Saccharomyces cerevisiae S288C: one gene and its partners. Changing the gene in region 1 together with any one later gene gives a genetic interaction. Each region holds a gene or a part of one and is shown in the gene's direction. Other genes may lie near its edges. The genes, in order: NBP1, PAU9 and NOP9.

Region 1 (11,091 bases):
TATTCCACTCCACTCCATGGCCCATCTCTCACTAAATCAGTGCCAAATGCACTCACATCATTATGCACGGCACTTGCCTCAGCGGTCTATACTCTGTGCCATTTACCCATAAATCCCATGATTATCCACATTTTAATATCTATATCTCATTCAGTGGCCTCGAATATTGTAAAAATGCTCTTAATACATACGTTATATTACTTTTGCACCATATACTAACCACTCAATTTAAATACACTTATGCCAATATTACAGAAAAATCACCACTAAAATCACCTAAACATAAAAATATTCTATTCTTCAACAATAATACAAAAACATATTGACTTGGAGTATGAACACTACCATGACGTCATTAACGTAAAAGTTCCTTAATATTGCAGTTTGCTTGAACGGATGCCATTTCAGAATATTTCGTACTTATGCAGACCATACATTAGAATAATATGCTACCTCACTGTCGTAACACTCTCCATTCACTGTGCTATAATATGGTACTGTGTTGACACTCATGCGGGTGCTATGATAAAATTGTATCCTATTTCCATTCCCATATGCTATCCGCAATATCCTAAAAGCATAACTGATGCATCTTTAATCTTGTATGTGACACTACTCATACGAAGAGACTATATCTGAACAAGACGATACTGTGATAGGTACGTTATTTAATAGGATCTATAACGAAATGTCAAATAATTTTACGGTAATATAACTTATCAGCGGCGTATACTGAAACGGACGTTACGATATTGTCTCACTTCATCTTACCACCCTCTATCTTATTGTTGATAGAACACTAACCCTTCAGCTTTATTTCTGGTTACGGTTACACAAAAACTATCGCAACCCAGAAATTTTGATATTTTCAGTGTCAAAAAATGAGGGTCTCTAAATGAGAGTTTGATACCATGACTCCGTAACTCGCACTGCCCTGATCTGCAATCTTGTTCTTAGAAGTGACGCATATTCTATACGGCCCGACGCGACGCGCCAAAAAATGAAAAAAGAAGCAGCGACTCATTTTTATGGAAAGACAAAGTGCTGAGAAGTCATGCGCTTCCAATTTCATTATTGTTTATTGGACATACTCTATTAGCTTTATTACCATCCACCCTTTTTCTAGAATAGTGTAAAAGTTTCTTTTTATGTTTATCGTATTCATAAAATGCTTCACGAACACTGTCATTGATCAAATAGGTTTATAATATTAATATACATTTATATAATCTACGGTATTTATATCATCAAAAAAAAGTAGTTTTTATTTTATTTTTCATTACTTTTTACTGTCTATGAATTTTCATTCGTAGAGGCACTCGTCCCTAGTTTGCGATAGTGTAGATACCATCTTTGGATAGAGCCTTGGAGATAGCTGGCTTTAATCTGCTGGAGTACCATGGAACACCGGTGATCATTCTGGTCACTTGGTCTGGGGCAATACCAGTCAACATGGTGGTGAAGTCACCGTAGTTGAAAACGGCTTCAGCAACTTCAACTGGGTAGGTTTCAGTTGGGTGGGCGGCTTGGAACATGTAGTATTGGGCCAAGTGAGCTCTGATATCAGAGACGTAGACACCCAATTCAACCAAGTTGACTCTTTCGTCAGATTGAGCTATAGTGGTGGTTGCGGAAGCAGTAGCAGCGATGGCAGCGACACCAGCGGCGATTGAAGTTAATTTGACCATTGTATTTGTTTTGTTTGTTAGTGCTGATATAAGCTTAACAGGAAAGAAAGGAATAAAGACATATTCTCAAAGGCATACAGTTGAAGCAGCTCTATTTATACCCATGCCTTCATCAGTCATCACTATTTAAACGATTCGTTAACAGACGCTCATTTAGCACCTCACATATCCTCCATATCTCATCTTTCACACAATCTCATTATCAGTATGGAAATGCTCTTGTTTCTGAACGAATCATACATCTTTCATAGACTTCGTATGTGGAGTATTGTTTTATGGCACTCATGTGTATTCGTATGCGCAGAATGTGGGAATGCCTATTATAGGGATGCCGGGGTACCTTGAAAAACCCTTTTGCGCGCCTGTGATTTCCGTTTTCGGTCAAAAAGAATATCTGAATTTTAGATTTGGACCCTCGTACAGAAGTCTATTGTCTAAGCCTAATTTCAGTGCTTTAAACGGCTTCCGCGGAAGAAGCATTTCTATCTCTTGAATTCGTACAACATTAAACGTGTGTTGGGAGTCGTATACTGTTAGGGTCTGCAATTTGTGAACTCTCGGCGAATGCCTTGGTGCAATTACGTAATTGTAGCCGCTGAAGGCGGATGGTATTGAGAGAAGTTGATGTTCAAAGTATCGTGTATGATAAAAATAAAATTGTAACCAGTTCGTAGTAGCAGTATTAAAACTTTGCACAGAGGGAAATATTTGATTCCGAGATGTAATCCCTCTTTTCTAGCCAGATATGAAGGAGAAAAGTGTAAGGGTAGTAGAGAGCGCTACTTTATTTTATTTTATTTTAAAAATGTTCTCTAGGAAAGGTGTATTAATAGTTGATAAAAAAAGTATTTTGTCTTCTATGTTCATAATTTCAATTCTTGAATTTTGGAAATCGTGAAATGCTTCGAGAAACCGCCTTCAATAATTAGAAAACAAAATAAAAGATTACAATTAGGCCACTCAAAAATACAATTCAGATAAGAAAGGAGCGATAGTGGGGAGTAAGAATTGGAAATACCCTTGATAATCAGGGAAAACTTAAGGAACGGGGTGTTAAAAGTCTGTGAAGTATAGATCAAACTCGCACTAGCTAGCAATACTCATGAGAACCCATGTGAGTCTAAAGCTGTGAAACTTCTTTAGAAAGCAGAGCATCCTCTAAGTTAACAGTTTTCCATACTTATTCAGTATGGATCAAGTTCCACAGTTTGTCAACTTCTGTAAAATAAACTTGTAGTGCTTCTTCGATGAAAAGGGATAGAATCTTTAAAAGACTTGATCTTGGCATTTTTATCCTCCTTCAAGCAGAATGGCTCCAGTAGAGTTGTTCTGAACGCTTCTGGGCAGTGAGCAGCATTGAAGAAAAAGTACTCAGCATTCCAAGCTTTGTTTTCATATAATTATAAATTAAAACTCATAGCCACCAATTTCCAGGTTTTGGTCGCAATATGCTGCAGAGTCAATGGCTTGTTTCATTACTATACTAGTCCGACGGAGTTTACTTTACTCTAAATTTTCTGAAATAGAAAGGCCACACGCCATACAATTAACAATAGTTCATTTAGTTGAAAGGTTTCCGAGATAGAAAGTGCGGTAGTGGAGAAGAACAATAAACGTATCAAACTTTGCGCAGTCATGGAATTTCCAGGAAACATTTTTAGGTTTTCATATGACAGCAGTTCCTGTCCGAGAGCTGTGCCTTTCTTGTCTCAGCTGACTAAGATGTCTCGGATCCGCCCGGCTGACGCGCGGCTCCGTCTAGTGGGATAGGCTTTCAACACATAGAAAACCCTTCAGATGATGAGAACACATCGAATCCCAGAGAGTAATATCACTAAGAATAAAGCAACCATGATAGACGATATTACTAAGTGTTCCTCAACAGATATTGAGAAAAGTTCTTATAAAGCGGGCAGGCTTTTTTCTATTTTTTTCTTTTTCTTTATCTAGCTTAAGATCTTTCTAACCATATTCTATAAAATGGCAAGCTGAATACAGATTATCAACGACAATTACAGATAACCTACAAACATGCAAGTTGCAATTCCAGAAACCATGAAGGCTGTCGTCATTGAAGACGGTAAAGCGGTTGTTAAAGAGGGCATTCCCATTCCTGAATTGGAAGAAGGATTCGTATTGATTAAGACACTCGCTGTTGCTGGTAACCCCACTGATTGGGCACACATTGACTACAAGATCGGGCCTCAAGGATCTATTCTGGGATGTGATGCTGCTGGCCAAATTGTCAAATTGGGCCCAGCTGTCAATCCTAAAGACTTTTCTATCGGTGATTATATTTATGGGTTCATTCACGGATCTTCCGTAAGGTTTCCTTCCAATGGTGCTTTTGCTGAATATTCTGCTATTTCAACTGTGGTTGCCTACAAATCACCCAATGAACTCAAATTTTTGGGTGAGGATGTTCTACCTGCCGGCCCTGTCAGGTCTTTGGAAGGTGTAGCCACTATCCCAGTGTCACTGACCACAGCCGGCTTGGTGTTGACCTATAACTTGGGCTTGGACCTGAAGTGGGAGCCATCAACCCCACAAAGAAAAGGCCCCATCTTATTATGGGGCGGTGCAACTGCAGTAGGTCAGTCGCTCATCCAATTAGCCAATAAATTGAATGGCTTCACCAAGATCATTGTTGTGGCTTCTCGGAAGCACGAAAAACTTTTGAAAGAATATGGTGCTGATGAATTATTTGATTATCATGATATTGACGTGGTAGAACAAATTAAACACAAGTACAACAATATCTCGTATTTAGTCGACTGTGTCGCGAATCAAGATACGCTTCAACAAGTGTACAAATGTGCGGCCGATAAACAGGATGCTACAATTGTTGAATTAAAAAATTTGACAGAAGAAAACGTCAAAAAAGAGAACAGGAGACAAAACGTTACTATTGACATAATAAGGCTATATTCAATAGGTGGCCATGAAGTACCATTTGGAAACATTACTTTACCAGCCGACTCAGAAGCTAGGAAAGCTGCAATAAAATTTATCAAATTCATCAATCCAAAGATTAATGATGGACAAATTCGCCATATTCCAGTAAGGGTCTATAAGAACGGGCTTTGTGATGTTCCTCATATCCTAAAAGACATCAAATATGGTAAGAACTCTGGTGAAAAACTCGTTGCCGTATTAAACTAGATGACGAACAGATATTATTTTCTTTCATATACATAGTTATTACGTTTAGTTATAGTGACTTAGTTTTTTTTTTTTTTTTAATGAAATTGTTTGTTATTGATCACCCCTTGTAGGGGCAACAGATGAGCACAGTGAAAATCATAACTCATTATGTGATTCGTTGTGAGTAACCCTTCCATGATTATATATCCTAACTATCTACTATCCAACTACTACATATCTATTGAACTCATATGTACCAAGCACATAAATTTATGCACCCATTTCCATTGGCAAAGACTTGGCGAAATTTAATACACTGTAATAATATCCGGCGAAGCTCTTTAAGTATTCTTACCTATAATGGCGGCTCGCTGTCCGAACGATTGCGCCGCACTTTTCTGCCTCTTACATTCCTTTTTCCTAAGGCGATAAGCAGGCTGAATGGAAACTACAATATATTGCAATAGAGCTTCCCCAAGGAACTCCCACTTTCCTTGGATTATTACAAAGAGAGTTTTACCTTTTAGGTCATTCTCACAGCAGATCCAAATATGTAGAACCTGTTTTAGAACAACAAATAGAAATGATGTGTTACAGAGTACCGTTTAAACTGAGTCATCACGTAATATTCTAATTATGTTTTTTTTTTTTAAATTAGCTAATGTAAACAGGCTGGAATGTATGGGAACTCATCACTTCGTAACTGATTCCATCTTCTATCTACCATAACTTTAAAAAAGATTATCGATAGTCTAAAAATACGCGATACACATTCTTTCTTCGTCCGTTAATGATAAAGCTCTTTTTATGTTAATGTACATGGGTTGTCAAACTACCCTTCCCAAAAAGACAGCACAAAATATATATTTATGCCGTGCTATTCTATGATAATATATTGGCTTTCACCTAATGGAAGCCCTAGCGAAGATAACCTTTTTCATACGACTTTTGGTGGGAAAGAAATTGGCATAGTCCCAAGTACAATGTTGTTATTATGTAGGAGCTTAATCCGCAGATCATACACTCTATCTCAATTCTTCGTATTATAACGCTCATGATTAATTAGGTCCTTCTGAGTTCTATCTTTTCTCTCCGAGACAATATTATGCAAATTTTAACCAAGCAGTTTCTCTTAAAAAATAGATAGCCTCTGGAATAACCAATATGGCTCTCATATTCGCTTTATCCACTCTTACGATGAACATCTGTATGGTTCTTTTTATTCTAGTTTATGTACGTTTATAGACGGGAAGTAGTTAAATTTGTGTTACCTTCAATTTGAAATTTGGGATACCGTTATCGTATTCAATTCTCAGCATCGCCCAGTTCAAGTCAACTAATATAGATGCTATAGCCAGAGCATAAACTAGGGAAATAGCATAGAAAAAATTACTATTCCCTGAACCTAAAACAACCCAAAGATGATAGAAAATTGGCGCCAAAACAATTGCGTGTAAAAACAGTAATGCTGATATGATGGGGTATCTTAAATATCCAAATAGTGGCGTGAAGAAAGGTAGGAAGCTGAAGAAAAAACCAGCGTCACCTAGTGAGGGATATGGCTTTGTAAGGACAATCCACCCAATGCATAAAATGAATGCGTAGAATGGCTGCTTATGATAGCGCAAAGTAAATGGTGTAATGAATACTGCAATAAAAATGTTGAATACAGCCTTGAAGAACGGTATGAAGGTGTCAAACATTTCAATGAAGAAGTACCACCACAAACCCAGATTTGGAAAAACCTTCTCAAAGGTTATAATAGATCCATAAACCTGTGTCAAAAATGACCAACTTTGGCTGCCTAATATACTGTAGCTGAATAATAGCAGAATTAATAAAGATAGTATGGAAACAATGGCAGATAATATTCTTTGCCTCCAACTTTTCAGCATACCTAATAGCGGAATTAAGAGGAGAATAGGGTATACTGACAAATATCCAGATATAGAAATCATAACAGAGGACAAAAGAACGTTTCCTTCAGCTAATATGCAATACAATGACGATGAAATAGCAAAATTTGTGAATATGATTGATGACCGACTAATGCACGATAAAAGGGTCAAAGGATTCACGGCATAAAGAAGTCCAGGTAGCCAAACTTTCAGTTTCAAGTTTTTGAAAGCCTTTGTTACCTCTGTCAGCTGATACGCAATTAATCCATCAATTAAAGCGTATATGAGGGAAATTAACCTGTCGGAATTAAAGAGGGAAAGAAAAAAAATCAAAATTGGAGGATGGTGAACAACCCCATGATTATATACTTGGATGTTGTTCCGCAGTAGGTATATACCTTCCTGTAGTGACCTAAATGAAGTTACGGGAGTTGAGAATTCTACAGACTGGTCCAGTTGTTGTTGTAGAGAGGGAAAAAGGCTGTTCACAGCCAAACGAATTGCAATACAGCCTAGAGCTACCTTAAGTGCTGTGGAATCCATTGGTCTCCTTTTGGTGAGTTTTTCATATAAGATCACGTTGTTTATATGAATTACTGTTCTAAAACTGGTTAGTTTTGAAAACAAAGGTCATTTCACTTAATGGAATATTTGTTTTACCCGGAATACGTAACATATCGTTTGCCAATAGACGTCTTTAAGAAGGATGTTTTAGCTTCCTTTGAGAATTATGCTACCAATAATGCAGATAGATATGTTGGAAATAACTGTTTTGACAAGAGCTTGAGATTTACTTGTTTAATGTATACTCATATAGAAACATCGAAAACAAATGAGGAAAGAAATTGAGAGCTGAGATCAATGTTAATTTTCATTCATTTGATGTTATACCTTTACACTTTAAAAATAACTCATCCGAAACAGCCAATGGTCTATCCTTGACCTTCGCCAACGCCTCTTATACTTTCATTAGAGGCCACTCTAGCACAATTCGTGACGCGTCATAGTATAGAAACGATGCGCGCATCAACAATTATGAAATTATTGCTGAACATGAACAAGTAGATACTCTGAAGAGAAAGGTACAATAATAGACATTGGTAATATGCTAAAATCCGTACAGGGACTGTGGAAAGATTTTTTTGGAATACGAGATGATGGCAGGAAACGAGAATACGGGTCCCTTGATGAAGTGAGAAAACGATCTGCCTTAAGGAGCAGAAGAAAGCAGATGCGTCCTACGGGTAAAAGCGTTCTAAAAAGACCTAGAAAGGTGACAGATAGGAAAACTGAAGAAAAAATTCGTACTAACAGGAGGAAAACACCCAAACGAAGGTTAACAAAGATATTCCAGACAATCAGAGATGTTTTTTCCAATGATAATGAAAATATGAGCAAGATGCAAAATGTTTGTGGCGACATGACTAGAATTTTGAAGAAGAGATCCCAGGGAAGACCTTCTTATATGGACACAGATACAGCCAAATCTAGGATCCTAAGGAGTGATGCCTTTAAGAGAAAGATATCGGAGTTGAAATACAATAAGCAACGGATCAGTGAACTAAGAAGTGGTAGTTCTGACGGGTCGAGTGGAAAAGATAGAAATCAATCATTATACTTAGATAGAGAAATTCTTCTACAGCGGCAAATTAAGAAAAGAGATGAGAAAATAAAAGCCTTGGAAAGCAAGCTACAATCATTACAAGAAGCATTGAATTACTCAAATGAGAAGTACAGGATTTTGGAGGATTTACTAGATTCTTCAAACATTCATCCATCATACACCAAATCTAGGAGAACCATGTCTAATCTAGCTAGAGAAAACGATGAGATTAAGCCCTTGAAAATTGATCTTTCCCCGTCTCCAATAAGAAGAACGAATTCATTATTCACTTCCAGCCCCATGAAAACATATAATCGGGATGGAAATATACCAGAGATGCAGCCGTTACAGGAAAACATATCTCCCGCCTGTCCCACTCCACCCTATCGTTCAAGGGAAACTGAAAAAGAGGATGAAACACTTTCACCAATCTCAGTGGACTTTTCAAGTTATTTATCTTAATTTCTCCTGTGAAATTAAAAGTATTCTCCATATATGGAGCGCGAAGATCACGGCCTAATCCTCATGATTCATTTTATAGATGCTTTATATAATAATTAGAGTACACATAGTTTTCATCATATTTCCGTTAAACTGGTTGTACTGTTTGGCCGTATGTAGAAGTATTATTTTCCATGTCAGAGACTTTTATTTTTTGTATATTTACCTTTATTATGGCTGTATCTTCTCCTAGTATAAAAATATCTGCGTCTGGATTGACTGTTAATAACAACCGCCTATAATAAGTAGATTCTTCACTATTAGGGTTCACAATATCAGCAATACCATTGATAGTAGCGCTCACTTGATTCAATTCACTTTGGTTCAAATCTCGTAAAAAGTTGTTAAATTTTGTAGACTCTGACTCAACAAATGAAAAATCATCTTTACTATGGACGCTTTTTTTTCGAAGAGTTAAATTTTTAGCTGTGATCCAATCGTGAAATAGCAATGCAACGTTTGGGTTGCTCATGACATTACGAAAGGTTACTGATTTCTCGAACACTGTGAATATAATATAGTCATTACAATCTATTTCTATACTATACTCATGTTTATGGAAAGTTTCCGCGGATGAAACAAATATGTAATGCATCAACGAAACAGATGGTATACAATTTGACGAGCATGTCGCCACATGAACATACTTGGAACTTTTAATCAGGCGTAACAGGTCTTTTGGTATTTGTTCATTGAGTTTCATCTTTAAAGGCTTGAGAGATTTGTTTTTTTAAGGTTTACTTTCCTTTGCAGAATGTTGCATAATTTTCACTATCAATTATACGTTTTTCAGATCAGACGCCTGCAACCCTAATTTTCGCACTCTGAACTTCGTATTTATCGTTTATTCAGTATAGAAAAGGAATATCAAATTTGAAATTCTAGATAATATTTATATATATGAGGTATCTAGAAGTGCGTTAACATTAGTGTTAACTGGGCTGCACCCACTTGTGACGTTTAAATTTCTGTCCCGGGCCTTTATCGTTTCTAAGCGCTTTGGTACGTCACAAGAGTACGCCTGATATTTTGTTGTGACATTACGTGTATGACTTATTAATACAATTTTTATGGATGGATAATTAAATCAATTTAATATTACCATTTGATGAAAAAAAGAAGGGAAACAAAACAAACGGTAAAACACTGTTTATTTGAAATGAAATGAAATGAAACAATATTGGATATTGAAACGTTGATATATTGAATTGATTCAATAAGTATTATTATCAAGGCGTAGGTAGCGCTTGCAACTTTTCTTTCTTCAGTTCTGTGATTAGGTCTGCCCAGGACAGTAAAATTTCTTTACAAAGTGGGTGAAATTCGCCTAAGTCAGGATCATTAACAATTGCTTTCAGTAGCTTGTGTAATTTGCTTTCGCGTAGGGCCTTCAAATCAAAAAAGGGCCGTTTGGTGTCAGAATTCTCATATATTCTATTTAATAGTTCATGAGTTTCCTTGATCTCATGCTCAGTAGGAGGTGTTTCTCTCTGGATTAGATTTCTTTGAATCCTGCGGCGAAATAACTGTGAAATTTCTACTCTTCTGGAATAGTCTAATTTAACTTTCTTTTTATTGCCACTGTTTGATTTTCCTCCCGAATTAGCTGTGGGTCTCTTTTTTTTGGACGGTTTGATGTTCGGTTTGCTTTCTTCTTCATTTGATTTCTGGTTATCTTCCGGATCTTCTTTGATGGATATTGAATTTTTTTTTCTTTTATTCACTACTTTTGTTCGACCTACAAAGGGATCTTCTCCGGCAACGATTTTAGAACCTTCACTTTTCTCAAACGCTTTTAGATCACTTAACCTGTTTTCTTCTTCAAACTTTTCTTGTAAAAATACGTTGAAATCATCAAAATTTTTTGCTTCCTTATAAGCATTGACCAATTCCCTTTGGTTTGCATTTTTACTATGTTCTAATATGAAATTGTGAATGCTGTCTTGATCTAGCTCCTTTAATCTACTGGGTTGTTCCCAATAATAAGTTGGATCGTTGAAAAAACAAACAGCAACACAATTGGATTTTCTCTTTCTATATACATCGTTTCGCAGCAAACGCTGTGGAAATACTACAGCTGGCCAAGGTGGAAACGAGCCAACTTTGCATAACACTAAATCGCCTGTTCTAATATCTTTTGTCATAAACTTGCGGACCAAACCAGGGATAGCTAATATCACAAAAGAAATGGAAGTAAAAACAGAAAAAAATAAAAGGGAAAAAAAGCCAGGAGGAGCAACGACTGTAGGTCCTAAAA
Region 2 (10,401 bases), on another chromosome or scaffold:
TTGCATCGGAAACATTGGAATTGGCGGTATCATCTGAGGTTGGGGATGTTATTCTTTTCAAATTCGAAACAAACAAGTTTTACGGACAACTTCCCAAAAGCGATGCACTGCAATTGAAGTTTAGCAGATTTTCATTGGATGATTCAAAAACTATTTTAGTTGATGTTTCGGATAGAGGGCCTACGAACGTTAAACAAGGCTTTATACCAAGTACGGTAATACATGCTAAAAAAGGTGCGGTGTCCGCAATCATGAATAGTAATATCGGGTTCGTTGCCGTTGGTTTCATTGAAGGAACCTTAATAATATTGGACAGAAGAGGCCCGGCTATAATCTTCAATGAAAATATTAGGGTCATTTCTAAAGCTGGTAGCTCTTACGTTTCAACCGTTCACTTTTGCGTCATGGAATATGGAGATGATGGGTTCTCTAGTATTTTGATGCTATGTGGAACGGATATCGGGGAATTGATGACTTTCAAAATACTGCCTGCAACTAATGGAAGATTTGAGGTTAAATTCACTGATGCAACAAAGACCAACAATCAAGGAAAAATTCTAGGAATAAATTCTTTTGCCAAAGATACTGGCTACAGTTGTTCTGCTACTATATCAAAGATGCAGGGTTTAAGCAAGGGTATCGCAATACCTGGATTTGTTACTATCAGTGGCGCAAATGACATTCGTTTAGTATCACCAGGTAAATCTAAGGACACTCATGCGCTTTTCAAGTATCCAATTGCCACTAGTGGATTATCATTTATTCCCATTATTGACGGTAAAGGAGAAAGAAAGCTTTCAACTATTATGATCGTTTTGCTAATTAATGGAGATATTAAAGTTTTGACAGTACCTGAGCTTAAGGAAGTCAAAAATCTACGCTGCCCGGTCCCTCTAAGCGCTCAATACGTTGAAAATTCATCTATATTAGAAAATGGTGACATTGTCATTCGCACAGGGAAATTCCAAGCCTCTTTGATTTCAGTACTTAATGAAAGTGCCACCGGAACGAATCATACTGCTGACATATCACAACATACTCCTATTGATACCTTGTACAATCCTGATTTAAAGATTGGTTATAGGCCTCAAGTGAATTCCTTACAATGGGCTAGAGGAACTATTTATTGCACACCATATCAACTTGATGAGCTACTGGGCGGTATAGAAAGGCCCGAATCGAAGTATGAGGAAAGCGCAATTGCTCGAGGATGCATATCTTCCAGTAGTAGTAATGCAGCCAGAAAGTTACCTCCCGGTACGGAAGATCACAGGTATGCCAGACCTGTAAGAAGCTCTGGAAGAAGTAATGGATATGGTGTCCTTAAAAGTGTTTCTAGGGCAATTGAAACTCGTTTAGACACGGTAGAAACCACTATTAATGACTATGCAACCACAATGGGACAAACCATGAATGACGCAATGGAAGAAACGGGAAGGGATATGATGAAGAGCGCTGTAGGTTTTTAGTCCATAAATAGTTTTTATAAAATTCGATCAGGTTGCCCTTGCTCGCATAAGAATTTTATCAGGCTCTAGACTCTAAGATAGGAGGCTTGAAGCGATTTTGTTGTTGATAAGTGAAGTTTTACACTATTCCATATTGTAGTTTACTTTTGCTTGTTACCCAGAATCGCCTATATATTCACTTTTGAACGTGACGGTAATTTTGTCCGCCAAGTTAAATATCCTTTGGGTAGTTTGAAAAACTTGGATATAGTTAGAAAAAAAACTTCTCATTTATACACGTAGACAAAAAGACGGTATGGTTGATAATAGGCGTACGTTTACGGCACCCCAAAGCTTACTTGAAACAAATCTTACTTTTCCGAATGATGAACCGTCACTTACTACAATCACAGTTACGCGAGAAAGATGTGTTGATCCAAGCTTGATAGATTCATTTTTGAGGTTTCTAAGGCATGGAAGTGATGATATAATAAGACAAAAATTAAACAACTATAGGAAAGGCTCTATTAATGGAAAAAATAAGTGTAAGGAATTTTTGAAGCAAGAACTATATCCGAACTGGCAAATACGGAATAATATAATTTCATTTTGCGAAAAAGAGGCAGCAGAGATGAAGAACGAGACCGATCAGCAGTGCGGTAATAATAAAAAGACTACTGCGGAACCACTTATAGACGCAAGAATTGATCCTTACGCTGCAAGAGAAAGAGCGGAGAAACAGGAAGCTCAATATAAGGATTGGACGAAGGTGACAGAGTGGGTGGCAAATAATAGAAAAATAGAACAAATTTTAACTTCTACAACAGAGGGCATTTTAAGGCAAAACTGCGAGCAAAATAATGACTACTTGAAGGAGTTTACGCAATTCTGCAAGGACAACAGTTGAACGCCCTATTCTTCTAGTCCGCTGAAAGATTATATCACTTAAAGATTCTTGTACATAGGAAGTATACTTATTATCGCCTTTCGTTTATCTGTATTTGTTAAAAAATATGCTCCAACTTGTGTAGTGAAAGAGATTTTTTTGCTAAAACCATTATTGCTGGATGCAAAGGACGCCATGAAGAAAAACTTACTTAGTGAGCCGCTTTTTGGCTTATTAATAATTCTTCTTCTCAAACTGCAATTGCATTTCCCTATTATTCTAGTTAATAGTACGTTAAATCATCAAAAAAAATACTGAAGGATGCGAGGTTCGAACTCGCGCGGACAACCGTCCAACAGATCTTAAGTCTGCCGCCTTAGACCACTCGGCCAACCCTCCACGAATTTTCTAAACCTTTCCGGTAACCAGTTAAATACCCTATTTTACCCGAATCCTCAGAGTCTGTGAATAATTTAATAATCTTTGAGATTCCATTGTTGGTAAGGGTTATACTGTTATGTATACAATTTACTAGAAGCTCTCGTCGATGGTATTGGTGTAGAGAATGTGGATTTTGATGTAATTGTTGGGATTCCATTGTGATTAAGGCTATAATATTAGGTATGTAGATATACTAGAAGTTCTCCTCCAGGATTTAGGAATCCATAAAAGGGAATCTGCAATTCTACACAATTCTATAAATATTATTATCATCGTTTTATATGTTAATATTCATTGATCCTATTACATTATCAATCCTTGCGTTTCAGCTTCCACTAATTTAGATGACTATTTCTCATCATTTGCGTCATCTTCTAACACCGTATATGATAATATACTAGTAACGTAAATACTAGTTAGTAGATGATAGTTGATTTTTATTCCAACAATTGGAATCCTCAAAATGGAATCGGTATTTCCACATAATAGTATTACTACTTTTTTTTTTTTTTTTTTTTCATTTATACTTTGTCATTCAGTATCCTGTTACATTATCAATCCTTGCATTCCAGCTTCCATTATATTTGAAGACTGTTTGTCGATCTTTATGTCATCTTCTTTTTCGGCATGTGATAATATACTGGTAACTGGAATACTACTAAAGGAATGATATTTTAGAGTTTCATCCCAACAATTGAAGAGACGTGACTAATGCTATGTTAAAAAATATGTGGCAGCTAATAACATCATACCATCCTATCATAATATTGTTATCTGTCGTTGCAAACTGCAGATGTGTTTGAAAATGACTTTTAAGTATGTGCCCTCGTTGCCTTTTGAGCGTAAAAAAAGTCACTTACTCCTGCAGAGGGGTTAACTACGCTATAGACGGGCCTTGACACATTTCATAAACACATATTTTCACATGTCAGGAATTTTCTTAACTATGCACTTTTGACGCCTTGCGTATGTTTATTCTATTTACAGCTTTGATGATGCGTACAAGTCTCTAGAATCTAACAATATACGACTCCCTGCACATGGTTGCTATTTTTTATTCAACCTTCAGGAATGAGTAACAAAGATGTTGCTTTGCATGGAAACCGTTTAGGACACACCAAATGATGGCTTAGACAGTAAGCTTCTGAACGAGGGTCCAAATCTAAAATTCGGATATTCTTTTTGACTGAAAACGGAAACTTAACAGGCGCGCAAAAGGGTTTTTCAAGGCACCCCCCGGCACCCCTATAATAGGCATTCCCACATTCTGCGCATACGAATACACATGAGTGCCATAAAACAATACTCCACATACGAAACCTATGAAAGATGTATGATTCGTTCAGAAACAAGAGCATCTCCATAGAGATAATGAGATTGTGTGAAAGATGAGATATGGAGAATATGTGAGGTGCTAAATGAGCGTCTGTTAACGAATCGTTTAAGTAGTGATGACAGATGGAGGAACGGGTATAAATAGAGCTGCTTCAACTATATGCCTTTGAGGTATGCGCTTTCATTTCACTATTTCTTGTTAAGATTACATCAGCACTAACAAACAAAACAAATACAATGGTCAAATTAACTTCAATCGCTGCTGGTGTCGCTGCCATCGCTGCTACTGCTTTCTGCAACCACCACTCTAGCTCAATCTGACGAAAGAGTCAACTTGGTGGAATTGGGTGTCTACGTCTCTGATATCAGAGCTCACTTGGCCCAATACTACATGTTCCAAGCCGCCCACCCAACTGAAACCTACCCAGTCGAAGTTGCTGAAGCCGTTTTCAACTACGGTGACTTCACCACCATGTTGACTGGTATTGCCCCAGACCAAGTGACCAGAATGATCACCGGTGTTCCATGGTACTCCAGCAGATTAAAGCCAGCCATCTCCAGTGCTCTATCCAAGGACGGTATCTACACTATCGCAAACTAGGGAGTGATGCCTTTACGAATGAAAATCCATAGACAGTGAAAAGTAATGAAAAAATAAAATAAAAAACTACTTTTTTTGATGATATAAATACCGCCGATTATATAAATGTATATTAATATTATAAACCTATTTGATCAATGACGGTGTTCGTGAAGCATTTTATGAATACGATGAACATAAGAAAGAAACTTTTACACTATTGTAGAAAAAGCGTGGACGGTAATAAAGCTAACAGAGTATGTCCAATAAACAATAATGAAATTGGAAGCGTATGACTTCGCAGCACTTTGTCCTTCCATAAAAATGAGTCGCTGCTTCTTTTTTCATTTTTTGGCGCGTCGCGTCGGGCCATATAGAGTATGCGTCACTTCTAAGAACAAGATTGCAGATCAGGGTAGTGGAGTTACAAGTCATGGTACCAAACTCTCATTTGGAGATCCTCATTTTTTGACACCTAAAATATTAAGATTTATGGTTTGGGATAGTTTGTTGTAACTGTAACTAGAAATAAAGCTGAGGGGTTAGTGTTTTATCAACAATAAGATAGAGGGTGGTAAGATGAAGTGAGACAATATCGTAACGTCCGTTTTAGTATACGGCGCTGATAAGTTATAATATAGTAGGGTTATTTGACGTTTCATTATAATTCTACAAAAACAACGTACATATCACTGTATCGTCTTCTTTAGATATAGTCTCTTCGTATGAGTAGTGTCACATACAAGATTAAAGATGCATCAGTTATGCTTTTAGGATATTGCGGATAGCATATGAGAATGGAAATAGGATACAATTGTATCATAGCACCGGCATGAGTTTGAGCCACTACCGTATTGTTTCTCGGTGAATATAGAGTGTTACGACAGTGAGGTGGCATATTATTCTAATGTATGGTCTGTGAAAGTTAGAAATATTCTGAAATGGTATCCGTTCAAGCAAATGGTAATATTAAGGAACTTTTACGTTAATGACGTCATGGTGGTATAGATACGCAATTGAGTGTGTTTATTTCGTAAAGTTGAAAGATAAATAATTTTTATGTTTAGGTGATTTTAGTGGTAATTTTTTGGTTATATTGGCATAAGTGTATATAATTTGAGTGGTTAGTATATGGTGCAAAAGTGGTATAACGTATGTATTAAGAGCAGTTATACAATATTTGGGCCCGCCGAATGAGATATAGATATTAAAATGTGGATAATCGTGGGAGTTATGGGTAAATGGCTCAGGGTATAGACCGCTGAGGCAAGTGCCGTGCATAATGATGTGGGTGCATTTAGTACTGATTTAGTGAGAGATGGGTCATGGAGTGGAGTAGAATGTGAGAGTAGGGTAAGTTTGAGAGTGGTATATACTGTAGCATCCGTGTGCGTATGGCATATCAGTATACAAGTGAAGGTGAGTATGGCATGTGATGTGTGGTGGTATAAAGTGGTAGGGTAAGTATATGTGTATTATTTACGATCATTTGTTAACGTTTCAATATGGAGGGTAGAACAACAGTATGGTGAGTAGCAGATGGTGGATGGTAGAGTAATGGCAGGGTAAGTGGTAGTGAAGTTGAATATGGCTAATTGGAGGGTAACGGTTATGGTGGACGGTTGATTGGTGGTAGTAAGTAGAGGGATGGATGGTGGTTGGGAGTGGTATGGTTGAATGGGACAGGGTAACAAGTGGAGAGGTAGGGTAATGTGAGGGTAAGTTGAGAGACAGGTTGGAAGGGTTGAAATAGGGTAGGGTTAGGGTAGTGTTAGGGTATATATATATGTCACTGTATTGCATGCTGGATGGTGTTAGACAAGGCCGTAGGGACATATAGCATCTAGGAAGTAACCTTGTACGAAAATAGGCAATATTTCCTGTTTAGGCGATTGTGACGCAGATTTTAGTCCAACGATCTAGCGTCAAGGAATTTTTTTATAGTGGGACATTGCACCAAGGAAGTAACTTGATACGTCGTGGGTGAATGGGTCTGTTTTCTTATTCGGCGGGGTAATACATTTTTGGGGGAAGTTTGTCTGTCTGACGCGCCATATGTAGGTACGCCAAAAAGGGCTCCTCTACTTCGAAGCGCGAGGTCGTATACCTAATAAGGAAATGTAATTTATAACTTTTTATTATATTGGTCTTTTCGAGAGCGGAACGTAGGTCCATGTTTAAAGTATCCAAGAGAATATCCACGAAGCGGCTGAGCAACGAACAGAATCCTGGTTCTCCTCGACTAAGCAGATAGTTAAGATACTGTGCACCATGGAAATTGAAAACGAAAGTACGTACCGACTACTTTATTTTTGCAGGCCGGAAATCAAGCGATGAATGAGACATCCTTCTGTTTTCTATGTTGTGCTTGAAGGGGACAGACAGTCGCTTATCTTAGTGAGATTTCTTATTAACTGAATTTTCTTTGCTGCTGCTGGAGATTTGCACCTGCATAGCGCAGATTCTGCTTCTTCTCAATAGAGTAGCTTAATTATTACATTCTTAGATGATGATAAGACGGAAACTGGACAATCTTTTGTTTATATTGATGGATTTCTTGTCAAAAAGCATAGCAATCAACATACTATTGTTAATTTCGAAACTTACAAAAATAAAATGAAAGTTTCCGATAGGCGTAAGTTTGAAAAAGCAAACTTTGACGAGTTTGAGTCGGCTCTAAATAACAAAAACGACTTGGTACATTGTCCCTCAATAACTTTATTTGAATCGATCCCCACGGAAGTGCGGTCATTCTACGAAGACGAAAAGTCTGGTCTAATCAAAGTGGTAAAATTCAGAACTGGTGCAATGGATAGGAAAAGGTCTTTTGAAAAAATTGTCGTTTCCGTCATGGTCGGGAAAAATGTACAAAAGTTCCTGACGTTTGTTGAAGACGAACCAGATTTCCAGGGCGGACCAATCCCTTCAAAGTATCTTATTCCCAAGAAAATCAACTTGATGGTCTACACGTTGTTTCAAGTGCATACTTTGAAATTCAATAGAAAGGATTACGATACCCTTTCTCTTTTTTACCTCAACAGAGGATACTATAATGAGTTGAGTTTCCGTGTCCTGGAACGTTGTTACGAAATAGCGAGTGCCAGGCCGAACGACAGCTCTACGATGCGTACTTTCACTGACTTTGTTTCTGGCACACCTATTGTAAGGAGTCTTCAGAAAAGCACCATAAGGAAATATGGATACAATTTGGCACCCTACATGTTCTTGTTACTACACGTAGATGAGCTATCGATTTTTTCTGCATACCAAGCAAGTTTACCTGGCGAAAAGAAAGTCGACACAGAGCGGCTGAAGCGTGATCTATGCCCACGTAAACCCACTGAGATAAAGTACTTTTCACAGATATGTAACGATATGATGAACAAAAAGGACCGATTGGGTGATGTTTTGCATGTGTGCTGCCCAAGTTGAGAAGAGATACTAACAAAATGACCGCGGCTCTCAAAAATAATTGACGAGCTTACGGTGATACGCTTACCGTTATCCAGAGCTACAGCGCAACGTATACGTCGACGATACAACAAGAACGGTTCATCGGAGCCTCGACTAAAGACGCTTGACGGACTCACTTCCGAGCGCTGGATTCAATGGTTAGGCCTTGAAAGCGACTACCATTGTTCATTCTCTAGTACTCGGAATGCGGAAGACGTAGTGGCAGGTGAGGCGGCGAGTTCAGATCATGATCAAAAAATTTCAAGAGTAACGCGAAAAAGGCCCCGAGAGCCCAAGAGTACAAACGATATCCTCGTCGCAGGCCGGAAACTCTTTGGCAGCTCCTTTGAATTCAGGGACTTGCATCAGTTGCGCTTATGTCATGAAATATACATGGCAGACACACCCTCTGTGGCAGTACAGGCCCCACCGGGCTATGGTAAGACGGAGTTATTTCATCTCCCCTTGATAGCACTGGCATCTAAGGGCGACGTGAAATATGTGTCGTTTCTGTTTGTACCGTACACAGTGTTGCTTGCTAATTGCATGATCAGGTTGGGCCGACGCGGTTGCTTGAATGTGGCCCCTGTAAGAAACTTTATTGAAGAAGGTTGCGATGGCGTTACTGATTTATACGTGGGGATCTACGATGATCTTGCTAGCACTAATTTCACAGACAGGATAGCTGCGTGGGAGAATATTGTTGAGTGCACCTTTAGGACCAACAACGTAAAATTGGGTTACCTCATTGTAGATGAGTTTCACAACTTTGAAACGGAGGTCTACCGGCAGTCGCAATTTGGGGGCATAACTAACCTTGATTTTGACGCTTTTGAGAAAGCAATCTTTTTGAGCGGCACAGCCCCTGAGGCTGTTGCTGATGCTGCGTTGCAGCGTATTGGGCTTACGGGACTGGCCAAGAAGTCGATGGACATCAACGAGCTCAAACGGTCGGAAGATCTCAGCAGAGGTCTATCCAGCTATCCAACACGGATGTTTAATCTAATCAAGGAGAAATCCGAGGTGCCTTTAGGGCATGTTCATAAAATTTGGAAGAAAGTGGAATCACAGCCCGAAGAAGCACTGAAGCTTCTTTTAGCCCTCTTTGAAATTGAACCAGAGTCGAAGGCCATTGTAGTTGCAAGCACAACCAACGAAGTGGAAGAATTGGCCTGCTCTTGGAGAAAGTATTTTAGGGTGGTATGGATACACGGGAAGCTTGGGTGCTGCAGAAAAGGTGTCTCGCACAAAGGAGTTTGTCACTGACGGTAGCATGCAAGTTCTCATCGGAACGAAATTAGTGACTGAAGGAATTGACATTAAGCAATTGATGATGGTGATCATGCTTGATAATAGACTTAATATTATTGAGCTCATTCAAGGCGTAGGGAGACTAAGAGATGGGGGCCTCTGTTATCTATTATCTAGAAAAAACAGTTGGGCGGCAAGGAATCGTAAGGGTGAATTACCACCGATTAAGGAAGGCTGTATAACCGAACAGGTACGCGAGTTCTATGGACTTGAATCAAAGAAAGGAAAAAAAGGGCCAGCATGTTGGATGCTGTGGCTCCAGGACAGACCTGTCTGCTGACACAGTGGAACTGATAGAAAGAATGGACAGATTGGCTGAAAATCAGGCGACAGCTTCCATGTCGATCGTTGCGTTACCGTCTAGCTTCCAGGAGAGCAATAGCAGTGACAGGTGCAGAAAGTATTGCAGCAGTGATGAGGACAGCGACACGTGCATTCATGGTAGTGCTAATGCCAGTACCAATGCGACTACCAACTCCAGCACTAATGCTACTACCACTGCCAGCATCAACGTCAGGACTAGTGCGACTACCACTGCCAGCATCAACGTCAGGACTAGTGCGACTACCACTGAAAGTACCAACTCCAACACTAATGCTACTACCACTGAAAGTACCAACTCCAGCACTAATGCTACTACCACTGCCAGCATCAACGTCAGGACTAGTGCGACTACCACTGAAAGTACCAACTCCAGCACTAATGCTACTACCACTGCCAGCATCAACGTCAGGACTAGTGCGACTACCACTGAAAGTACCAACTCCAGCACTAATGCTACTACCACTGCCAGCATCAACGTCAGGACTAGTGCGACTACCACTGAAAGTACCAACTCCAACACTAATGCCAGTACCAATGCGACTACCAACTCCAGCACTAATGCTACTACCACTGCCAGCACCAACGTCAGGACTAGTGCTACTACCAATGCGACTACCAACTCC
Region 3 (11,383 bases), on another chromosome or scaffold:
TTGAATAGGGTTTCCGCTAATGATGGCTTCCTATTGGGAAAAAACTGAACATGATGATGATCATGATGACCGTCATGATGGTTATGAGTAGATGTGTAGTTGTGCGTCTTGGATGAATTCAAAGCGTAACCGTGGTCTTTATTATCATCATGAGTACTATTCGCGCTCGTCATTGAAAGACTGCTCAATGTTTTCTTCAGTAAATATGGACCCCTTTTGATTTTCGGTTCTGTCGGCCTTGGATGTTCCACGTTCGAAATACTTACATCATCCATACCATTTGGAGTGATACTCTCCCTGCTTTTGGTCATAGAAAGCGACCGTGGGCTGTAATAACTATATGCGCTATTCCTTCTTGATTTGTGACCACTATTTTGTTCGTGACGCTTCTTGACTTTTGGTACCTCATCATGAATGCTTCTATCGTTTGCTTCCGTAGGTGAGCTCTGCTCTATCTGTTGTTCTTGTTCTTCCTGTCGCTGAGGGCCAGAAATTTCCGAACCAGTATCAGGTTTTGATGACATTTCGACCTAGGGATTTCGTTTGCTGTTGCTTTAGCTCGTTTCGCAATGGTTAGCGACAATAGTAAAGATATGCTATTTTTGGTTGTGAACTGCAGCAAGAGGTCTCCTTATGCTTTCTCTCCTCTGTTACTATACTTCCCAGCTGTCTTTACTGAACTTTGGAAGAAAATACACTTTTTTAGAGTCGCTTTTCTTATGGTAAGTCCCCCCTGCTTTCCTTCCAAAATACAAAAAAAAAAAAAAAAAAAAAGTAAGAAAAAGGAAGTGAAAAAATAAGGTTATGATTGAATATTTAGGTTTGATAGAGGAGAAAGTAAGGAAGGTCTCAGTTCAGTCTGCCATTCCAATTTGAAACATAGAATTTCAGTGATTAACAATGCAATTGAACAATTGAACACAGAGAAGAAGAAGAACGAGAACTGACTCTAAATCTGGCATTTTATCCTTTTTTATGGCTATTTACATTGGGAGCTAGGCGAAATGCATATTTGTTTACTTTCTGGCATTTACAAAATCATTTTTTAAAGGGTATGACCTACTCTAATGCGCTTTTCTGTAGAACAACGCAGGGAACGGTATTTGATGTTTTCAATGATGTATGACTTATATAACATCTATTTCCTAGGATTTTTAAATAAGATGGAGGGTTGGCCGAGTGGTCTAAGGCGGCAGACTTAAGATCTGTTGGACGGTTGTCCGCGCGAGTTCGAACCTCGCATCCTTCAGTATTTTTTGTCCTTATCTTTTTGCTGCACCGAAAGCACTCATGAAGTCTACGGCTTGATGCACACCGTTTGGGAACCTTTGCGATCCCACGTACCTAAATGGTCCTTTTCGGTACAACTTGCTGAAGAATCACTGTGTGGCGGGTAATGCTCTCTTTATACTTGCATTGCGAAAATCCGCGATGATCAAAAATCCAAACAAGTACTGTCCTGAAAGCCGTCTTTATACACATAGATATATATATATATATATATATATCTGTATCTATAGAGCGAGAGGAGATATAGAGCCAGCAAAACTAAGAAAATTACGTACTTTGATATGCCTAGCACGTTTGAATCCCAGCTTTTTTTTTCGAGACCGTTTCTGTCTAAAAGGCAAATTCAAAGAGCCCAAAAGAATACAATATCGGACTATCGAAATTACAACCAGAAAAAACTTGCCGTGTTCAAATTTCTAAGTGACTTGTGTGTTCAGCTGAAATTTCCACGGAAGACTTTAGAAACAGCAGTATACTTTTACCAAAGATACCACCTCTTTAATCGCTTCGAGACCGAGGTTTGCTACACTGTAGCGACAAGCTGCCTGACTTTGGGCTGTAAAGAAGTTGAGACAATTAAAAAAACAAATGATATATGTACTTTGTCATTACGATTGAGGAATGTGGTTAAAATCAATACGGACATTTTGGAAAATTTTAAAAAAAGGGTATTTCAAATAGAACTTCGGATATTAGAGTCATGCTCATTCGATTATAGAGTCAACAATTACGTTCATATTGATGAATATGTTATAAAAATTGGTAGGGAGCTATCCTTTGATTATAAGTTGTGCAATCTGGCTTGGGTAATTGCTTATGATGCTTTGAAGCTAGAAACTATTTTAGTCATACCCCAACATTCCATTGCATTGGCCATTTTGAAAATAGCATATGAATTACTAGATAATAAGAATTGGTCAAGTAAAAGGTATTCTTTATTTGAAACAGACGAGAAATCCGTAAATGAAGCTTATTTTGATATAGTCAATTTTTACATCAATTCATTCGATATGTGCGATCTACAACGTCATTTACCGGCTGATTTGCTGCCGATTGGCGTTGAAAGGTTTATGGAACTGAAAAAAAACGCAGGACCAGAATCTGGATTGCCGCAAATACCAGATCACCTGTTGAATGCCGATCCTTATATCACTATTACTAGAGATAATAATGTCCAAGAAAGAAGATATGTACTTTCACTGGAGCTAATTAATGGCGAGTCCAGCATAAATAGTTCTACAAGACATGCATAGAAAGTCCTACTATAAACTTAAATAAGATCATCATTATAAACTTTCTTTTACACAAGTAATAAGTACCTTTTTTTATCTCAAAACATGAATGTTGAGCTTCGAGGTTTAATTCACAAAAAAAGAAAATGTGCTCCAGGGGAGGTTCGAACTCTCGACCTTCAGATTATGAGACTGACGCTCTTCCTACTGAGCTACTGAAGCATACAAAGGATGTTGGGGAAGAAAAACAAACTTTACATCAAATATTTGCGGATTCCATGGTTATTAAAGGATATAGCACCGGGTATACAGGACATACTAGAAGTTCTCCAGGGGATCTTGTAATCCACAAAAGAGAATTGATATTTTCACATAATATTGTCATTATTGTTTCCCCAATTTATATGATATCATTCATTATTCTGTTACACTATCAGTCCTGGCATTTCAGCATCTATTAAATCTGATGACTGTTTTCTCAATCTTCATGCCATCTTGGTACATCGTACATGATAATATATTAGTAATATGAATACTATTCGATAGATTATAGTTGATCCTCATTAGGACATCTATCGTAACAATGGGAATGTTCATATCATACATTAATTTATACGAGTTGTTCAGACAGTAGTATAAGGCAAAGATCTTTTACTTGAAAGGTTAACTTAAAAATTTTGGATATAGAAGTCATTATACTAGGCGCGTAGTATTTTACTGATGTGTTTCCAAGCTAGGGCATACTGAATATGTTCTCTGGGCGCGTGTTTATATGCTTTTCTTATATACAATAAGAAAAGTTTACTTCTATTCTCGGTAAAAACATTCTTACGGCTTGACCACTATTGATGGATATGGTTTATTGCTCATAGGTAGAGGTCAAAAAGCTTTATTAATGAAGATTGAATATCGATCTTCTTAGACTTATATAAGGGGGATATAAAACACACGCCGATTGGTTCATTCCTAATTGTGACCAATGTAATAGTGGTTCCGGCAGTTCTCATACATTTAATGTGAAGACCTGTATTGCTCATATATATGACTATCAGATCATATTCAAATAATGGATTTTTAATTCTGCTTCGGTACTGTCTGAACTGCTTCTTGAACATTTCCTTCTGTAATAGGTACATTGACAGACATATGCGTGGTGTATACTAGCATAAAATGTAAGCATCGAAATTGTTACCAATTGAATTCATGTTGATATCTAATGATCACTTGTCCGAACATTTTGTATTATTAATCAATAAAGAAGCTGCCGGATTTAGATAATTAAAGAGTTGCGAGCACATTTACTATTTCAATAGCTTATTTTATATAAGCCAAGTTAATGGTGTTTTTGTCATTATTAACGGTATTCGAAAATGTTCATCACCTCCGCTAGTGGCAAAAAAAAGTGAAGAAAATAGTATAGCATGATGATGTTCTCACTTTACAGATACCGACAAGACAACTTGAACCTCAAGGGCAATAAAATCATCAATTAACCATGTCACTTAGATTGCCACAAAATCCCAACGCGGGATTGTTTAAACAAGGCTACAATAGTTACTCTAACGCCGATGGCCAAATTATTAAATCAATTGCGGCCATTCGCGAATTACATCAAATGTGTTTGACTTCTATGGGACCCTGTGGTAGAAACAAGATCATTGTTAACCATCTCGGTAAAATCATTATTACCAACGACGCGGCCACCATGCTAAGAGAACTAGATATTGTCCATCCTGCAGTGAAAGTCCTCGTAATGGCGACTGAACAACAGAAGATCGACATGGGAGACGGTACAAATTTAGTCATGATTTTGGCTGGCGAACTATTAAATGTGTCCGAAAAACTGATTTCAATGGGCTTGTCTGCCGTTGAGATTATTCAAGGTTATAATATGGCAAGGAAGTTTACTTTGAAAGAACTAGACGAAATGGTTGTTGGTGAAATTACTGACAAGAATGATAAAAACGAACTTTTGAAAATGATTAAACCAGTCATCTCCTCCAAAAAGTACGGATCTGAAGACATATTGAGTGAACTTGTTTCTGAAGCTGTATCTCACGTTTTACCAGTTGCTCAGCAAGCTGGAGAAATTCCTTATTTTAATGTTGATTCTATCAGAGTAGTAAAGATTATGGGTGGATCGCTTTCCAATTCTACCGTCATCAAAGGTATGGTTTTCAATCGTGAGCCTGAAGGCCATGTAAAATCATTATCCGAAGATAAAAAGCATAAAGTTGCAGTTTTCACTTGTCCGCTTGACATAGCCAATACTGAAACGAAAGGCACTGTTTTATTACATAATGCACAAGAAATGCTCGATTTTTCTAAGGGCGAGGAAAAGCAAATAGATGCCATGATGAAAGAGATTGCCGACATGGGCGTAGAATGCATTGTTGCAGGTGCTGGTGTTGGTGAATTGGCGTTACATTATTTGAATAGATACGGTATACTAGTCTTGAAGGTACCAAGCAAATTCGAATTAAGAAGATTATGTCGCGTTTGTGGGGCCACTCCATTGCCTAGATTAGGTGCGCCAACTCCAGAAGAATTAGGTTTAGTGGAAACTGTTAAGACAATGGAGATAGGTGGTGATAGAGTAACTGTGTTCAAACAAGAGCAAGGTGAAATTTCAAGAACATCTACTATCATTTTAAGAGGTGCCACACAGAATAATTTGGATGATATTGAAAGAGCCATTGATGATGGTGTTGCAGCCGTCAAGGGACTAATGAAGCCATCAGGCGGTAAGTTGTTGCCTGGTGCTGGTGCTACCGAAATTGAATTGATTTCTAGGATAACTAAGTATGGTGAACGAACACCTGGATTGCTACAGTTAGCTATAAAACAGTTTGCCGTGGCTTTTGAAGTGGTTCCTCGTACCCTAGCGGAGACCGCTGGTCTTGATGTTAATGAGGTACTACCAAACTTATACGCTGCACATAACGTAACTGAACCTGGTGCAGTTAAGACAGATCATTTATATAAAGGTGTGGATATTGATGGCGAATCTGATGAAGGTGTAAAGGACATCAGAGAGGAAAATATTTATGACATGCTTGCAACGAAAAAGTTTGCTATTAACGTCGCTACAGAAGCTGCAACTACTGTGCTTTCCATTGACCAAATTATCATGGCAAAGAAGGCGGGTGGTCCAAGAGCACCTCAAGGCCCAAGGCCAGGTAACTGGGACCAAGAAGACTGATTTGTTTGCATCTTTATACTTACAAAGTAGATATACCTGCAAACAGCAGAATATAATGTCATAAATTGCAATCAAGTTTTCAAACTTGCTAGGCTGTATCATGTGTACCTGTATAGTAGTAAAGATATATATAATGTTTGAATTTTTGATAATGCAGATGTACTGTATACATTAACCAAGAAGCAACCTGCAAAACCGACGAACTCTTGGCCTGTATATTTGTTCGATGATTGTAATACTTTTTTTTTTTTCAATTTTTTTTCGGTTAGCGAGAATTTTCATGCTCATCTACAATATAATGAAGAAAATTATATTAGATGAGCTGCGATCTGTTACAACTAGTATACTGTGAACGACGCTGAAACCTTCACGGAAAAACCACATTATTGTTATTATGGGAAAGACTAAAACAAGAGGCAGAAGACACCAAGACAAACAGAGAAAGGACGAATTTGAACCCAGTTCAAATTCTGCGAAGGAGCACATCCAGCAAGAAGAGTCTACTTACAATGACGAAGCCGAAATTAAAGAGACTCAGCCACAAATGTTTTTTGGTGTGCTAGATAGAGAAGAACTGGAGTATTTCAAGCAAGCCGAATCGACTTTGCAATTAGACGCCTTCGAAGCACCTGAGGAAAAGTTTCAATTCGTCACGAGCATTATTGAGGAAGCAAAAGGTAAAGAACTGAAATTGGTTACTTCCCAAATAACTTCGAAATTGATGGAACGAGTTATTCTTGAATGTGATGAGACTCAGTTAAAAGACATTTTCCAATCTTTCAATGGCGTTTTCTTCGGGTTGTCATGTCATAAATATGCTTCCCATGTTTTAGAGACTTTATTTGTTAGAAGTGCCGCCTTGGTAGAAAGAGAACTTTTAACACCAAGTTTTGATAACAATGAAAAAGAAGGGCCTTATGTGACTATGGAAAATATGTTTCTCTTTATGTTGAATGAACTGAAACCGCACTTGAAAACTATGATGAACCATCAGTATGCATCACATGTTTTGAGATTGCTAATATTAATTTTGTCTTCCAAGACATTGCCTAATTCAACTAAAGCGAACTCTACTTTACGTTCCAAAAAGTCAAAAATTGCAAGAAAAATGATTGACATTAAAGATAATGACGATTTCAATAAAGTTTACCAAACACCGGAATCTTTCAAATCTGAACTTCGTGACATAATAACTACTTTATACAAAGGATTTACTAATGGTGCCGAGTCGCGTTCTGATATTTCGCAATCTACTATCACCAAATTTAGAGAGTACAGTGTGGATAAAGTGGCTTCCCCTGTAATTCAGCTCATTATTCAAGTCGAAGGTATTTTTGACAGGGACCGTTCATTTTGGAGATTGGTCTTCAATACAGCAGATGAGAAGGATCCTAAGGAGGAATCATTCCTGGAATATTTACTGTCAGATCCTGTCGGTTCTCATTTCTTAGAAAATGTGATTGGCTCTGCCAGGCTAAAATATGTTGAAAGACTTTATCGTTTATATATGAAAGACCGTATTGTGAAACTAGCAAAAAGGGATACTACAGGTGCCTTTGTAGTGCGTGCATTGCTGGAACATTTGAAGGAGAAGGACGTAAAACAGATATTGGATGCAGTAGTTCCTGAATTAAGCATGCTTTTAAACTCAAATATGGATTTTGGTACTGCTATTATCAACGCAAGCAATAAACAAGGTGGTTACTTAAGGGATGATGTCATTGCTCAATTAATACAAAAATATTATCCAGAAAAGTCTGATGCAAAGAATATTTTGGAAAGTTGCCTGTTGTTGAGTGCATCGACTTTGGGCAATACCAGAGATGACTGGCCAACAGCAGAAGAAAGAAGACGATCAGTTTTCTTGGAACAATTAATTGACTACGACGACAAGTTTTTGAATATTACCATTGACAGCATGTTGGCTCTGCCTGAGGAAAGGTTGATACAAATGTGTTACCATGGAGTATTTTCGCATGTTGTTGAGCACGTACTACAAACTACTAGGGTGGACATAATTAAGAGAAAAATGCTATTGAACATACTGTCTAAAGAGTCTGTAAATTTGGCATGCAATGTATATGGCTCTCATATAATGGACAAATTGTGGGAATTTACGGCAAAATTAACATTATATAAGGAGCGTATTGCTAGAGCATTAGTTTTAGAAACTGAGAAGGTGAAGAATAGTATTTATGGCAGGCAAGTGTGGAAGAATTGGAAACTGGAATTATATGTTAGAAAAATGTGGGATTGGAAAAAACTAATTAAGGAGCAAGAATTTGAAATATTTCCAAATTCTAAACCGCTACAGCCAAAGCCAGAAAAGCACTCAAGAGAAAGAAATAATTCGAAGGAAGGAAGCGCCTTCAAAAAGCAAAAGCACTATAGATAATTGGATAATATGTTACTACTGTACTGATGTAAATTATAGAATTATGCAATATTTTCCTCTTAATAAAAAACCTTAGCTTAAACATTATTAAGGAACACTACAAAGAATTTTGCAGATTTTTAAAAGTTGTCAGTTGCTACGATATTGTATGAATAAGTTGGCGATATTTTTTATATTTAGTTTACTTTCCAGTCAATTCTTTCCGCCCTTTGCATCTATAAATTTAAATAGAAGGATAAAAAAGTGGTTATGAATAGGTAAATAATACTAGAGTAGGACGATAGAAGTCTGTATGAGTTACGGAAGCTTGTAAAAAACCTCAGAGATGCTCACAAATTGTGGTATTCTATACAATGACTGCCATCTTTTGATATTTATCGAAAATGTTACCGTCCCACGTCTAGATGAAAACAGTGATAATTTACTACCATGAAAGCAATACGCACATAAAGGATATTAATTTTAGGGTCTCTTGATGCACTATCATGAAATTTGTAACATGCTGACCTCCTAGTATCCCGTGAATATGTATATTTCAGAAATAGCCGAATATTAAGAAAATTGTTCGTATTCCATTGTTGTTAAGGGCTACAATATTAGGGATACAGAACATACTACGAGTTCTCCTCGAGAACATAGAAATCCTTATATTAGTATTAGTAAAGGATTTTATTATTTATTGGTAACTACTAAGTGTATTTATTAAAGATAATATTCAAAAGTAATTGTATTGTTGCGTTTATGAACAGAGTGAGACAAGTATAAGTATGTTATTATAATATCATACATACCATTGAATAAATTATTTTAATGAAATGGTTATGTTTATATACTCACAAGGGAATCGGTATTTCTTACATAATAGTATTACTCTGTCTTCGTTCCTTTTATACATTGTCATTCAACACCCTATCCTATTACATTATCGACCTTGAATTTCGGCTTTTATTAAGTCTGATGACTATTTCTCATCATTCATGTCATCTTCTTACAGATATGATAATATACAAGTAATATGAATGCTAGATGATAGGTAATAGTTGATTTTTATTTGAAATAGAATCTTCAATGATCGCAGTGGATCTTTTAAAAACTTGGCGAGATAGTGGTAGGGTTCAAGAATAAAAGCAGATCTTCTTATACTATACAAAAGAGGTGTAAAACATGCGCCGATTAGTCATATCAAACATGACAAATATAACAATACTGAGACTATTTACTATAGTTTCTATGTAATGACCCATATCCTTACATATACAAACGTCAAGTTAATTGTTCAAGTAACAGATATTTAACTTTACATTATCACATAGTCTATATCGTTCTCCATCCTGACACATCAATGACGTTTGCGTCTAATTGCTTCACAATTACAAATTCATCAGTAATAAAGAATAGTATGTCACTATTCTAACAGATAATATGCCAGTAATATGACTACTGGTCAATATTAAGCATAACTGTAAGACTGGATTTTGTAATGTCACCTATTAGAAAATGTTAGCCTAAATTTTCAACAAAAGTTGAAGCGGTGGCTCAATGGTAGAGCTTTCGACTCCAATTAAATCTTGGAAATTCCACGGAATAAGATTGCAATCGAAGGGTTGCAGGTTCAATTCCTGTCCGTTTCAATTTATTTTTTTATTTTTTTTGCACCATATCGTTCATGGTGATTCTCTCTTTCCTAGCCGCCAATAACGTCGTAACAATACCGTCCTCTTCCCTTTCTCTTGTTGCAGATTAGGTCTGAAACGAGATAAAAGTCTTACAGAGAAGTCGGCAATGCATACTTACTAAGAGCATGCATTCTAAAGTATGCTTCGTGCGTTTTAGGATAGATAAAGTATCATTTAATTCCGCTATTTGTGAATCGTTAAATGTCACAGGCAAATCGACATGTTAATGATCTTACGACAGAGTAGTTTATGCCGAGGGTTACTTATATTTCAACTTGTACATCTCTTAGTCTTGAATATCCGGCACAATTTTCATTATTTTGCTAGTGCGTGGATCCTTTGGCGCTGACACTAACCGGTAAATTGTACTTTCGTTCATCTTTCCTTGTCATAAACTCTTCGTCAGTAATTTCTTTAGCAATAGAAGCTAAAACAAGCTTATTAGCAAACAGTTCGTGTACACAACTATGAGCAATCCATTACATTAAAAGGGTTTACTGTATAATGTTATATATGTAGCATGAATTATAAAATGGTCCTCCCAATCATTTTGATAGGTTATTCTGCGGAATGATCAAGCTTTTCTAGATTCCTTCAGATAATATCATATGTTAAGGAGAAGAACAATTTTGCTTAATCAAACTTCTGGTCACATGAGTTGAACAGAATGTAACCTTTTATTGATAGTCTGCAGTCTGGTTCTCCACGAACTACATATACTATTTCTATTTACAAAATAGTGTGATATTTCACCTTCTATGAGATGAAATACAAAAGAAAGCTTCGCTGCAAGGTTGAAAGATAATTAGCACTTATTCCTTGAATAAGTGGGCAAGAAAAAAATATTAGCCCTGTAGGGGGCTCGAACCCCTAACCTTATGATTAAGAGTCATACGCGCTACCGATTGCGCCAACAAGGCTAATTCGTTGAAAAATCCTTCAATTCCTGAAAATTATACCAAGTAAAAAAAGGAAAATTGCCTGAAAAATTATTTTTTTCAATGCCATCGATCTATGAAAGTTAAGCAAATAACAGCCACAGTAGAAGAGAAGTTGAGTGAATCCAACACCCACCACTGAAAAAATCGACACTTAAACAAAAAACTTTAAACGTTATGAAAGTTCTTGAGGAAAGGAATGCATTTTTAAGTGACTATGAAGTCTTGAAGTTCCTAACAGATCTAGAAAAAAAACATCTTTGGGACCAAAAAAGTTTGGCTGCGCTGAAGAAAAGTCGCTCGAAAGGTAAGCAGAATAGGCCCTACAATCATCCTGAATTGCAAGGTATTACTCGCAATGTGGTTAACTATCTCAGTATAAACAAAAACTTTATCAACCAGGAAGATGAAGGCGAGGAACGAGAAAGCAGTGGTGCAAAAGATGCTGAAAAATCGGGTATAAGCAAAATGAGCGATGAAAGCTTTGCTGAGTTGATGACTAAACTGAATTCTTTTAAATTATTCAAGGCTGAAAAACTGCAGATTGTCAATCAACTTCCTGCCAATATGGTCCACCTTTACTCCATAGTGGAGGAGTGTGATGCAAGATTTGACGAAAAAACAATTGAGGAAATGCTAGAGATCATCTC

What was found.
Region 2: mutations in NBP1 (region 1) and PAU9 together harm fitness more than expected from each alone (negative genetic interaction), as found in Saccharomyces cerevisiae (one large-scale study listed by BioGRID).
Region 3: mutations in NBP1 (region 1) and NOP9 together harm fitness more than expected from each alone (negative genetic interaction), as found in Saccharomyces cerevisiae (one large-scale study listed by BioGRID).

What each region holds. Positions count from the first base shown.
Region 1 is NC_001144.5:1,053,516-1,064,606, reverse strand, and holds NBP1 (Nbp1p), read left to right. Parts: upstream 1-7,835; coding exon 7,836-8,795; downstream 8,796-11,091. Other genes in the region: seripauperin PAU4, read right to left, coding at 1,326-1,688; YLR460C (uncharacterized protein), read left to right, coding at 3,720-4,850; GPI-anchor transamidase subunit GAB1, read right to left, coding at 6,089-7,273; YLR456W (pyridoxal 5'-phosphate synthase), read right to left, coding at 8,923-9,537; PDP3 (Pdp3p), read right to left, coding at 10,064-10,978.
Region 2 is NC_001134.8:1,915-12,315, reverse strand, and holds PAU9 (seripauperin PAU9), read left to right. Parts: upstream 1-4,582; coding exon 4,583-4,711; downstream 4,712-10,401. Other genes in the region: putative Rab GTPase-binding protein SRO77, read left to right, coding at 1-1,469; MIX23 (Mix23p), read left to right, coding at 1,765-2,355; YBL111C (uncharacterized protein), read left to right, coding at 7,307-8,100, 8,200-9,409; YBL112C (uncharacterized protein), read left to right, coding at 9,417-9,734; YBL113C (uncharacterized protein), read left to right, coding at 9,658-10,401.
Region 3 is NC_001142.9:414,298-425,680, reverse strand, and holds NOP9 (RNA-binding RNA processing protein NOP9), read left to right. Parts: upstream 1-6,118; coding exon 6,119-8,119; downstream 8,120-11,383. Other genes in the region: CYR1 (adenylate cyclase), read right to left, coding at 1-524; CTK2 (Ctk2p), read left to right, coding at 1,572-2,543; YJL007C (uncharacterized protein), read left to right, coding at 2,669-2,983; chaperonin-containing T-complex subunit CCT8, read left to right, coding at 4,018-5,724; DNA-directed RNA polymerase III subunit RPC17, read left to right, coding at 10,911-11,383. UniProt on the Saccharomyces cerevisiae protein: RNA-binding nucleolar protein required for pre-rRNA processing. Component of the 90S pre-ribosome involved in production of 18S rRNA and assembly of small ribosomal subunit. Component of the pre-40S ribosome required for release from the nucleolus.